3 linked regions of the Rattus norvegicus genome follow. The protein of the gene in region 2 binds, or shares a complex with, the protein of the main gene of each other region. Links are inferred from orthologs where the notes say so. Each region holds a gene or a part of one and is shown on either strand. Other genes may lie near its edges.

Region 1 (3,751 bases), on a different chromosome or scaffold from region 2:
TTAACTATGAATATGTGAGGGTGTTGTATCCCCTGACCAGTAGTTAAAATTGTGAGCTGCCATGTGGGTGCTGGGAATTGAACCTGGGTGGTTGGCTAGAAGAGCAACCAGTGTTAACCACTGAGCCATCTCTCCCACCCCTTAAAAGACGATCTTAAAGCACATAAAACTGTTCAAAATTAAGAGGGACAATAGAATATTGAGGAATATGGTGAGCAGAAGAGATTAATAACCTACTCTGCCTACAGCAAAAGGCAAAGAGAAGGAAGAGGAGTACATGTACTGTGAATTTGGAGAGTGTCAGGGTCTTATATTTTGAGTTTCAGCAACAGTAAATGAAACGTGAAAGCCAGGCTTGAAAAACCACTTTTCCTGGATTCATGTTTGAACCTTGGTTGACGTGAGCAAGCTAGTCTTTGAACCCATCCATTGCCACCTTCAAGGAATATGTTCAGGCAATAGGAAGTAATGCTGGGTGTGGTTGCTTAACATCTGGGCTGAGATTCGCTGTGAAATCTGGGCTATTCTGAGCTACAGTGAAACCCTGCCAAGAAAAAAATGTCAACTATTTTGGAATTAAGGGAGTCAAACAAGCTTGGTGTCCAGAGAGTGGGCACTTTCCCCCAATTAAATTTAAACCTCTGTGTTTTCTCTCATCACCATATGGGTCCTGGGGATCCAAATCAGGTCAGTCGGGCTTGGTGGCAAGTTCTTTTATCAGACATATAATCTTGTTGTTTTTTTGGTTTTTTTTTTTTTTCTGTTTGCTCATTTGCTCTGTAGCTTTGACAGCCTAGAATCCACGATCCAGCCTTAGCCTCCTAAATTCTGGGATTACATATAGGTGTGCTACCATGTCTGGCTCAGGTTCGGAGTTCCTCCATGGCAAGGTTTCTCTGGGACTGTGGCAAGAAATGTGGACTAGAATAGGCCCATTCATTGAACAACTATTTACGCCTATCTGCAATGCTTGGCCTTACTCTAAACACCGGAGAAGCAATGATGAACAAGGCAGTTTTATCCGTTAGATCTGTAATAGAAGCAAGATAGAAAGCAGCCAAGGGAAAACTGTAACGTGAGGCGAGAAGCCTACCGGAGCTCACATGACCTGGTGTATATAACTGAAGTACAGCTATACTAGCCTCCAGCTCACTTTGCCCGCCCACTTCCGGCTCCCTCGTTTCTCCTTCCCGATGCCTCGAAAGAGGCGTGACTTGTATATGTCACTTCCGGCGCGCGCGAGAACAGGTTTCCCTTTGCTTCCGCAGCGAGGCCGGAAGTAGAAGCGGCGGTGGCGGAGGCCCAAAGCGGAGGGAAGTGGGGAGTCTGAGAGACTCAGCTGGAGTCTCAGCGGCGGTAATTGTCCGAGGCCCCTCTAGGCCACCGTCCTTAGCGCGGGCCCGCGGGGTTCGACGGGAGTTGGCGGGGTGCGGCCAGGGCAGCGGGACGCGGAGGGTCCTGGACCGCCGTGAGGGGAGGGGGGGGCGGTCCCAGAATCGAGTCCCCCCTCCCGCACGGACCCTCTGATTGGCGGGCTCGCCTTCGCTTTTCCCAGGAGACCCCTGTGCGGTCCGGAGGGGGCGCCAGCCCCGACTCTGACCCGCGCCGGGGGGTGGGCCATGGCGGAAATCAGCGACCTGGACCGGCAGATCGAGCAGCTGCGGCGCTGCGAACTTATCAAAGAGAGCGAAGTCAAGGCCCTGTGCGCTAAGGCCAGGTAAGCCCGCAGGAGGGAGGCCAACCCGTGGCTCAGGGGTTTCGTCTGGGCGAACTCAGCTGAGAACTTAGGGTTTGTCATATCCCGGAAGCGTTCCCGGAGAGATGTCCCAAGAGCCACTTCCCACCAGGAACCATGGGGTCGGCTATATGTGTGTTTCTAGTGGAGTAAGAGCGAGTGGCAGGAAGTTCTAGGAAACTCAGGGAAAACGGCTTGCTCTGCTGGGGCGAAAGAGAAAGTTTCTTGGAGGGGCTGAGTTTTGGGACATGTCTTGAAGAATGAGGAGCTCGTTCAAGGCAAGAAAACAAAACGTGATTTGCGAAAGTCTCTCAATCTCATCAATCCTTAAAAGAGAAAGTAGTTTCGTGTCCAGTTTAACAAACAAGGACTACAATTGTTCAAAAGTACCAGCAAGGAAGGAGTGGAATCTGAAGCCAGTTCTCTGACTACAGATCCTTTTAGTTATTCTGGAAGATGAAGTCGAGCCAATTTTGTGTTCAGTTAAGATCCCAAGGAAAACAATTAATAAGCTAGAATAGCACATAATGAGTCTTAGACTAGCTTGGTTTACTGAGTTGAGGCCTTTTAAAAAAAGTAAGATTAAAAAAAAATACAGATCACAGCCTCAACACAGTAGTAATCCTAAGCACTTGGGAGGCAAAGAGAGAATGAGGGGTTTAGGGTTATCCTCAGCTAGGTCAGGGCCACCACATGAGACTCTGGCTCAGAAAGTGAAGCCAAGAAACAGTGATGAGGATATGGAGAGAGGCAGTGTTTTCTGGGAAGTAGAGGAAGTTGTAAATCAGCATCCCAGTTTGGGGGTGCAATGACTGTGGCTTTGAATCTGAGCGCTGGCACTCTAGGTGGTGACTTGGAAATGTCTAGGACTCAACAAAGTGGAACAAGTTGTGTTCAGTAAAATGGTTGTGACCATTCAGTGAATCTGAGCTGGAAGTGAACTCAGCACGGTGTTTGGGTACTCTAAGTTATGAGATGGTGTTTTTATGCTGGAAAGGACAATAACGGTGTATTCAAAGATTGAAGCTTGGGAGGGGGGCGTTTTTTGTTTTTGTTTTTTCTGAGACAGGGTTTCTCTTTGTAACCTTGCCTTGTCCTAGAACTCACTTTGTAGACCAGGCTGGCCTTGAACTCAAGAGACCCACTTGCCTCTGCCTCCCAAGTGTTGGGATTAAAGACATGTGCTACCACCACCGGGTGACCCAGGTGCTTCTTAGGGTAGACCTTGAAAGATATATTCTTTTTTTTTTCTTTAAAGATGTATTTATTTATTATATTTATATGAATAACACTGTAGCTGTCTTCAGACACACCAGAAGAGGGCATTGAATCCCATTAGAGATGGTTGTGAGCCACCATGTGGTTGCTGGGATTTGAACTCAGGACCTCTGGAAGAGCAGTCAGTGCCCTTAACCACTGAGCCATCTCTCCAGCCCGAAAGATATATTCTTGACCAGCTGACAGAACACAGTGAGGAGTAGTCGAGCAGGGTAGGAGTAAATGTGTAGGCAATAGTTGAGGCTTGTTCCGGCTCCTCTGGAAACTGTTTCAGTGTGGCTTCCACCCTCTTAGTAGACAGTAGCCTGGTCCTCACTCTTGCCCACTAGTCCTGTGAGGCTGGGAGAGTTATGTGTGTATGCCTGTCTGTCTGTCTGTCTGCCCATGTAGCCCCAGCTGGCTTTGAACTCAGAGATCCATCTGTCTCTGTTTCTCAAATGATTCTTTCTTTTTACAGAGTAGGAAGCCATGACTTCTAGATACCAGTGTCTTGATGCAGGCTACCCATTGAGGCTGTGACAGCTGGTGTCCTAGTTTACTTTCTCTTGCTGAGCTGCATCTCTAGCCCTGTTTGGTTTGAGGTCTTTGTTTTGGAGACGGGATCTTACTGTCTCTTAGGCTGATCTGGAGCATGGAATCTTTTGTCTCTGCCACCATGCCATTGTGCCTGACTGGTTGAGGTTGTGTTTATTTTCTTAGACAGGATGCTCACATCTTAGGCTGGCCTTGAACTTGCTA
Region 2 (3,651 bases):
ACGTGTCTCTTATGTTGTAGTACTTTGTGGTAATCTCATTGATAAAGTTCTGTGTTTTTAAGATTAAAAGAGACTGGTACTTTTTCCTTTGCAGGGCATGGATGATACACAGGTGCGAAGTGCTGCTACTGATATATTCTCATACTTGGTTGAATATAACCCATCCATGGTACGAGAGTTTGTCATGCAGGAGGCACAACAGAATGATGATGTAAGTAAGAAGTTAACAGAGCAAAAAATAACCAGCAAGGTAAATATTATTTACACTAATAGTATTTATGCATAGGAGGCTTTAGCTGGGGTTATGTATTTTTTAAGATCTAAACTAATGTGCTTTTTGGGAAGGGGTAGCCATAACGTCAGATGGCTCACTCTTTCCCTCAGTTTCCTCTGCCTTAGTTTATAAATTTATTGTATTTGAAGTCAGCTTTTTTAATTGTGAAGTTGACTTGACTGTAATGATTTATTTAGACCCTTAAATCAATTGACCATTCTGAATGTGGACGATGAATAACATTCATTGGAAAGAACTACCAGAGGTGGATTCTCAGAATTCATCAAGAGGAAAGAGATAAAATATGGCCCCTGAAAACTATTAGGGAGGAATAAGAAGCAGCTATTGCCTGTATGCTGTGGCTGCATTTAATCAGAAATTAGAGTCAGTGAATTGGCTTTAAAAGTAGCTTAGACTGGTAGTGTACATTGAGTGTGTAGTACATGATATGTGAAGAAGCCTGAATGTGTATGTTCTTCCACTCTGTTTTTTAAACCAATGCCTCTGGTTTTTGGTTTTTGGTGTTTGTTTGTTTTTTCTCTTTCTAAATTTTTGGAAGCTACTTTTTACTCATTAAGCTATCTTGAATTCCTTGAGAATGGGAAAATGATGTCTCTTTTAGGGGAATGGACTCTGCAAAATGTCAGCTTGCAGTGTTTCTTACAAAATGAAACAGCTTCTATTTTTAAAAATCTACTGTGCCAGATTGAAGTTGAATGCCTAGTAATGTCTATATTTATGTTTGTTTTCAAAATTATAGTGTAGAGTATATGCAGAGCTGTATCATGAATTACTGAATCTTTATATTTCTCTTCTATGAAATAGTCCTATCTTAAGAACCAGAATATCTTGAGTAATTAAAACTAAAGGCTATTCTTGTAGGCCCTGTAGCCACTGGGTGAGCAGACATGCCTGTGTGTCTTCACACTTCACAAACATGCATAAGGCCTCTGGATTTCATTTTCCAATCATTTCCATATACTGTCTGTATTTTCTTTGTCCTTGTCTGTTTTACCCTAGCATATATAGGCAAATGGACAGAGTTTACTCGCTTTACCTCCCTCAGTTTTTCTTTGTCCTTTGGGCCAAGAACACCATCCCTAAAAGGTCCTTAGGAAAAACAGAAGTTGGTTTTCTTTGACATTTGGAATCCACATAATATACTATTGTTCTGTACACTCTAGTCTCCTTTTATTCAATTTGTTATTTCCATAAAGGAAAACTATAAAAGTAAATGCAGTGAAACCAAAGCAGGCTTATAAATTCTAGCTAAGTAGTCTTAACATACATACATGAAGCCATACATGTGAAGCTCATGAGCTTTCTACAAAAGGTCGATGAAGTTAGTACAGAAGCAAGACATTTTAACACCCACCCTGACCTTTGTGGTTTGTTTTGTTTTGGTCCCCCCTCCCTTCTTTAATGAGATGAGTTTAAAGGTAATAGAAAAAGCCAGAGGTGGTGGCACACTCCTTTAATCCCAGCACAGGGGAGGCAGAGGCAGGCAGATCTTTATGAGTTGTGCCTTTTAGTTCTAGGCCAGCCAAAGCTGCATAGTAAGATCCTGTCTCAGAGAGTGGAGGAGGAGGACTTTTAAACTTCTTTTGGTACTATTTATTGTCTTTGAACCACCATCAGGCAAAAGAGACACTTCCATTTATCCTGTTAAATGATCAGTCATTCTTTTTTACTTGAGGTTAACAAGACAGCTAGAGGTAGCGGTAATGCCACAATATCTGTCTTAGTAATCTGTATTATGTGTATTTTTGTCACCAGGATATTTTGCTCATCAACCTCATTATAGAACATATGATTTGTGATACAGATCCAGAGCTTGGAGGAGCAGTCCAACTTATGGGCCTGCTTCGAACTTTAGTTGACCCAGAGAACATGCTAGCCACTGCCAATGTGAGTCATAGCCATTTCTCCTTTTTCATAGTAGTATCTGTTTTATTGCTAGTAGGAACCAATACAGTTAAAGTTCATCAAAGTATTTTTGATTCCATAGAAAACAGAAAAGACTGAATTTCTGGGTTTCTTCTACAAGCACTGTATGCATGTTCTCACTGCTCCCTTACTAGCAAATACAACAGAAGATAAGCCTAGTAAAGGTAAGATAATACAGCTTCATAGTTTTCTTGAATTGTGAAACTTAAAGCTGATGTTGAGTAACTAGATTTAAGACATTGGGTCTAGAGAAATAACTCAAGGGTTAAGAGCACTGGTCCTCTTCCAGAGGACCCTGGTTTGATTCTAAGCACCTAACACAGCAACTAACAACAGTCTTTACTCCAGAAAGACTTTACCGGCTCATGTAACACTCTCTTCTGGCTTTCTGTGGGCACTGCGCACACACACATGGGCTCAGAAATATATTTAGGGAAAACACTAATGCATATAAAATAAAAAATAGAGCTGGAGAAATGGTTCAGAGGTTGAGATCTGATGCCCTCTTCTGGCCTGCAGGTGTATGTGCATGCAGAACATTGCATACATAATAAATAAATCTTTTAAAATAATAAGTCTCTAAAGGGAAAGACAGAGACAGGGACACCAGGATACATCCTAAGAAGGAGGTAACAATCTTTAAAGTTTTATAATTAGATTGAGTGAGATTTAGTCATGTGTTTTCAAGAGACTTTTAAGGTGAATTTTGTTTAAAAGCACCATAATCGCAGCTAACAGAAAAGTACAAAAGAAAGTAATTTGTTTTCCTGGTCAGTCAGTCAGGTGGCTGATTGATTGAGAGATATTGTTAAGGGATCCATGTTGGTCTCAGGTCTTCTTGTTTCAGCCTCTCCAGTGTTGGGACAAGTGTGTGCCACAGTAAATAGCAAACTCTTTTCTTTTGTCTTTTGTCTTTTTTTTTTTTCGGAGCTGGGGACCGAACCCAGGGCCTTATGCTTGCTAAGCAAGCGCTCTACCACTAAGCTAAATCCCCAACAGCATGGCAAACTCTTATAGCAAACTCTGGTAGTTTATTCCTTGGGATGGGGTGGGGATAGTTTTAATGTCATTGGGAAATAGCTGTTGAGGCTCTTATCTAGGAACCCATACATTATTTTCCCTTAATTTTACAATTCAGTATATTTAATTTAAGACATTCAATTTATAGTATTATTATTCATGTATTAATAAAAACTGTAATAGTGTTGATGTATGATTATGAAAAGAAAACTTACCTTTTTTCTCTGTCTCTGAAGTGCTAGAATTTAACATGCCCAGCACATTAAATAAACTCTTGTGTAACCCTAGAAATCAAATCTTTGAAATACCATCTTATTTCTGTGGGTGTTTATTCATATTGGATAAAATTTGAGGCCCGTTTCCAAATTAACATGTTTAAGACAACAGAACTTGTAGAAGGTACTGTGCTA
Region 3 (3,651 bases), about 2.5 Mb from region 2:
CTTTTGCATAGGCATGGGAGCTGGAGATCCCTCAGTGAAGAACATTATCCTAGACATTTAGTCTCTAGTCCTAGATATACCAGTCCCTAAATTCCTCAGTAGTCAATCTGAACATGGATTTCTACATTTCTACTTTAGAGGTTACACGGTTCTGGTGATGTAACTGACATGTGCTATGTTCATCAGAATGTTTGTCAGATATGTGGAAATCATTAATATTTCTGAGGAACATGTCACTGAAGATGAGGTAGCAGGGAAATGATAGTCAAACACCAGTCACCTGGATGTGACTGTGCAGGATTAGCCTGTCAGAGGATATTTTATGTACCCAGGTGATAGTAACATTAAGTAGTAGAGATCCTTCCAGAAGGGTGTGAGCTCAGGATAGTGAACATGTCTCATTTAGCAATTGCTTGATATTGGTTTGGCAGGGAGTAATTGTTGAGAACATACCTTAGGGTGATGATTATCCTTCTTGTTTTATTTCTTTAAGAACGTCTTACCTGTCCAAAGAGCCGCAGCACGAACTCTGTGCATTTTTCTACGATATAATCGCAAACAAGAGCAGAGGCATGAAGTCATTCAAAAGTTAATTGAACGTAAGCAATGATTTTGGAAAAAAGTTACTAAAATAATTGACCTTAATTAGATCTTTAATGCATTGTATGTAATTTTTTGAAGCAAAATTGGACTGATGTTGGTAAAAATCTGGTGTGTGCTTTTATTTGAATTTTGAAGGTTAATTTGTATTTGTCTTGGAAATCTTTATGTCAAAATTTCATAGATGAAAATAATATTTAACCAGAGTGGCCTTTTATGAATTCCAACACTTGAGAAATTAAAATACGTAAATGTAAGTTGAAAGGCTAATTTCTACCTTGGTGAAATAGCATTCATAAATCTAATAATTTATTATACAATGCTGTTCTCAGTATGTATTGAATGAATAAAATGTAGGCTTATAATTTTTTACTGAATGGTGTTAACAGCATTGGTTAGCAGAATGGTGTGACTCTAGTGAGCTGTAGTGGTTTAGAAACTAGGTCAACACATGCAAACTTATTGTGATTTGTTAAGGGCTAAAATAATGGCAAAAATCTTTAAGGTGTTAATCTGGTAGCAAATATATACATTTGTCTAGTGAGCTTATTAGTCACTGACTACTTGGCTTTGACTACAATTATGCTTAATTGGTTTTTAATAAAACTATTATCCAGACTTCCTAACTACTATAATTTATCATTTTAATCAAGAAATACCACATTTCAGGTGAAAGAGTATTTTATGAAATTCTATTTAAGAACAGTTAGGCTCAGTATGTTTTGCTTTTTCTTCCCATGACCTGATTTAGTTCTGTTTTCCTTTTGCATGAGAAGGGTCTTCCATTCAGAGTACGTTGTTTGATTTTTAAAGATTCTGTTTGGTCTTAAGTATTAAGAACATTGCCTTTGCTCATTTATGTAAAAATGAGAAAATTATGCTTTGAATACTGACCTATAGTAATTGTGTTTACATATGACTTCTCCACTTCAGACACCTTTAAGGAAACAAAAAGAGAATAACTAGTTTAATTTTAAAAGGCTTGGAGAGCCTGCGTTTGAATTAGTCCAAGAGTATGCATCCCATCATCCTGTTTTCCAGGTATAAAAACGGTGTGTGTACAGGGTCCTTAGCATGTAGGTGGTGGCCATTCATAGTGACCTCATCATTCAGTCATCACAGGTCATCCCAAAGTGGTTCTTGGTGTTTTGTATAGTAACACCACTTCCTAGTTTTTGACATGTAAATATTGTAGTCTACAAATCTAGAGCACATAATGACTATTTTTCTCTTATTGATTATATTTGTTAAATAGATTGCAGATAGAATTAAACTTTACATACATTTTTGGTGTTTCGTTTTGTAATATATAATTTCATGTAGGAAATACTGTATTATGGTATTTTTGTTGTTTGTAGAGTTGGGTCAAGGAAAAAGTTATTGGAATAGACTTCGCTTTTTGGATACCTGTGAATTTATCATAGAGATATTTTCCAGATCATTTTTCTGCAAATATTTCTTTCTACCTGTTATTGAACTAACACATGACCCAGTGGCAAATGTGAGGTACGTATCACTTTTCAAGGTTTGAAAATGTTGCATTTCTCATTTCTATTGTGGTAAACATTTGCAAACCCTTTTTCTTAGTTAATCAAGTGAGGAATTGATGCTTGCTCTCTGTTATTTTTGAAGCTTAACTTAATAGTCATACAAGTATGGGGTATAGCATGATAATTTAATAATTTGGGTATTAGATGTAACAATAAAATCTAGGTAGTTAGCATTTTCATTTCCTCAACTATTTGTCATTTCTATGTGCCCACAGCCTTCAGCCTGGTCTTCTAGTTATTTATAAAATGTACAGTAAGTTGTTGTGAGCTGTAGTCAGAGTGCAAGGCATTCCTCCTATATTAACCGGCTTTTGGTGTTCTTCGCCTGCCTCCTTCCAACCGTCCTTCTACTGCTAAGAAGCACCGTTCCATTGCTCACCTTTTTGGCTTCCACATCTCAAAAGGAACGGGCAATATTTATTTCACTGTAGGGAATGCCTTCCTGTTCATCTGGGTTGCAGCAGTGTTCCATTTTCTGTTAGCGCTGAATACTCAATGTATTTATATACCATGTTCTCTTCACCCAATTGTCTGTTGATGGACATCTCAGTTGGCTTCATGGCTTGGTTAGTAAATAGTCTTGGGAGACAGAGTCACTCTCTTCACTGATATCTGAGATCTTTTAGCTTACTGGGCTGAGCAAGCACAAGTCAAGGCCAGCCTGCCAGCCTGGCTCAGCAAATGTCATCTGTATGATAAGAGCCTTAAAAGTCTTGTTTACCAAAAGCTCTAGTCCCTAATTTCAAGAACTTTATAATCTTGTGTGCCCACGAATCAATGTTTTCTAGACATACTTTAGGTGATAAAGAGTGATTTATGCTTTGTGTGCTTCTCAGGTGAATGGTTTAACATTTAATTTACTGAGTTTAGACACCGTCCAGGCTGGGAAAATCCTGTTGCTATTCAGAGGAACCTTTTCTTCCGTGGCCAGAGTGAAGGAAGTTTTCTGGAGAGGACTTGAGAGTTCTTAGTTAAAGCGTCCCCTCTATCTGTGCTGAGCAGTGAGTGAGTTAGAGCCCTTGGTGTTTAATGTTGAGAATCCCAGAGACAGCTTCTTCACCTCTTCAGATGCACAGAGCCAAGGGCTATTGTGTAGGCAGTGCTCTCACCTGAAGGCCTGCAGACAGCATCCTGGCAACCCTTGGAATGGGATGTAGGTGCCTCAAGGTTTGCAAAAGCAATACAGAGCATTAACCCGGAGAGCACATGATGAGGGAATGACTGCAGGGGCTGTAAGGCATCCCTTTCCAGAACTGGCCTAAAAAGAGGCAGAGTTGGTGTTTATCAAAGCAGAGCACCTCAGTGGCAGCCGTCCTTCCCCGGGATTCTGTTCTTCAGTCCGGGTTCTCTGTTCTCCTCCCTGAGCCTCCCGGTTTCTTCTTTACCCAGCTGATCTGCACAGTGGCGGTACCTTAGATGTTTCCCATTCTCCTCCTCTCTCACTGCCCCTATGCTAAGTGTCTTCATCCTAGGCCTAAACTGTCAGCTGCAAGCCTTCCTC

The links.
Region 1: Ppp4r3a (region 2) and Ppp4c share a complex: the UniProt entries of both Homo sapiens proteins name them as parts of the PP4 complex. The link is inferred for Rattus norvegicus from reciprocal best matches to the Homo sapiens genes PPP4R3A and PPP4C.
Region 3: Ppp4r3a (region 2) and Ppp4r4 share a complex: the UniProt entries of both Homo sapiens proteins name them as parts of the PP4 complex. The link is inferred for Rattus norvegicus from reciprocal best matches to the Homo sapiens genes PPP4R3A and PPP4R4.

Annotation. Positions count from the first base shown.
Region 1 is NC_086019.1:190,827,701-190,831,451, reverse strand, and holds the start of Ppp4c (serine/threonine-protein phosphatase 4 catalytic subunit), read left to right. Parts: upstream 1-1,204; 5' UTR 1,205-1,356; intron 1,357-1,390; exon of another isoform or gene 1,391-1,555; 5' UTR 1,556-1,619; coding exon 1,620-1,717; intron 1,718-3,751. UniProt on the Homo sapiens protein: Protein phosphatase that is involved in many processes such as microtubule organization at centrosomes, maturation of spliceosomal snRNPs, apoptosis, DNA repair, tumor necrosis factor (TNF)-alpha signaling, activation of c-Jun N-terminal kinase MAPK8, regulation of histone acetylation, DNA damage checkpoint signaling, NF-kappa-B activation and cell migration.
Region 2 is NC_086024.1:126,043,070-126,046,720, reverse strand, and holds part of Ppp4r3a (serine/threonine-protein phosphatase 4 regulatory subunit 3A), read left to right. Parts: intron 1-94; coding exon 95-211; coding exon of another isoform or gene 212-250; intron 251-2,050; coding exon 2,051-2,182; intron 2,183-2,282; coding exon 2,283-2,385; intron 2,386-3,651. UniProt on the Homo sapiens protein: Regulatory subunit of serine/threonine-protein phosphatase 4. May regulate the activity of PPP4C at centrosomal microtubule organizing centers.
Region 3 is NC_086024.1:128,500,971-128,504,621, forward strand, and holds part of Ppp4r4 (serine/threonine-protein phosphatase 4 regulatory subunit 4), read left to right. Parts: intron 1-493; coding exon 494-599; intron 600-1,958; coding exon 1,959-2,106; intron 2,107-3,651. UniProt on the Homo sapiens protein: Putative regulatory subunit of serine/threonine-protein phosphatase 4.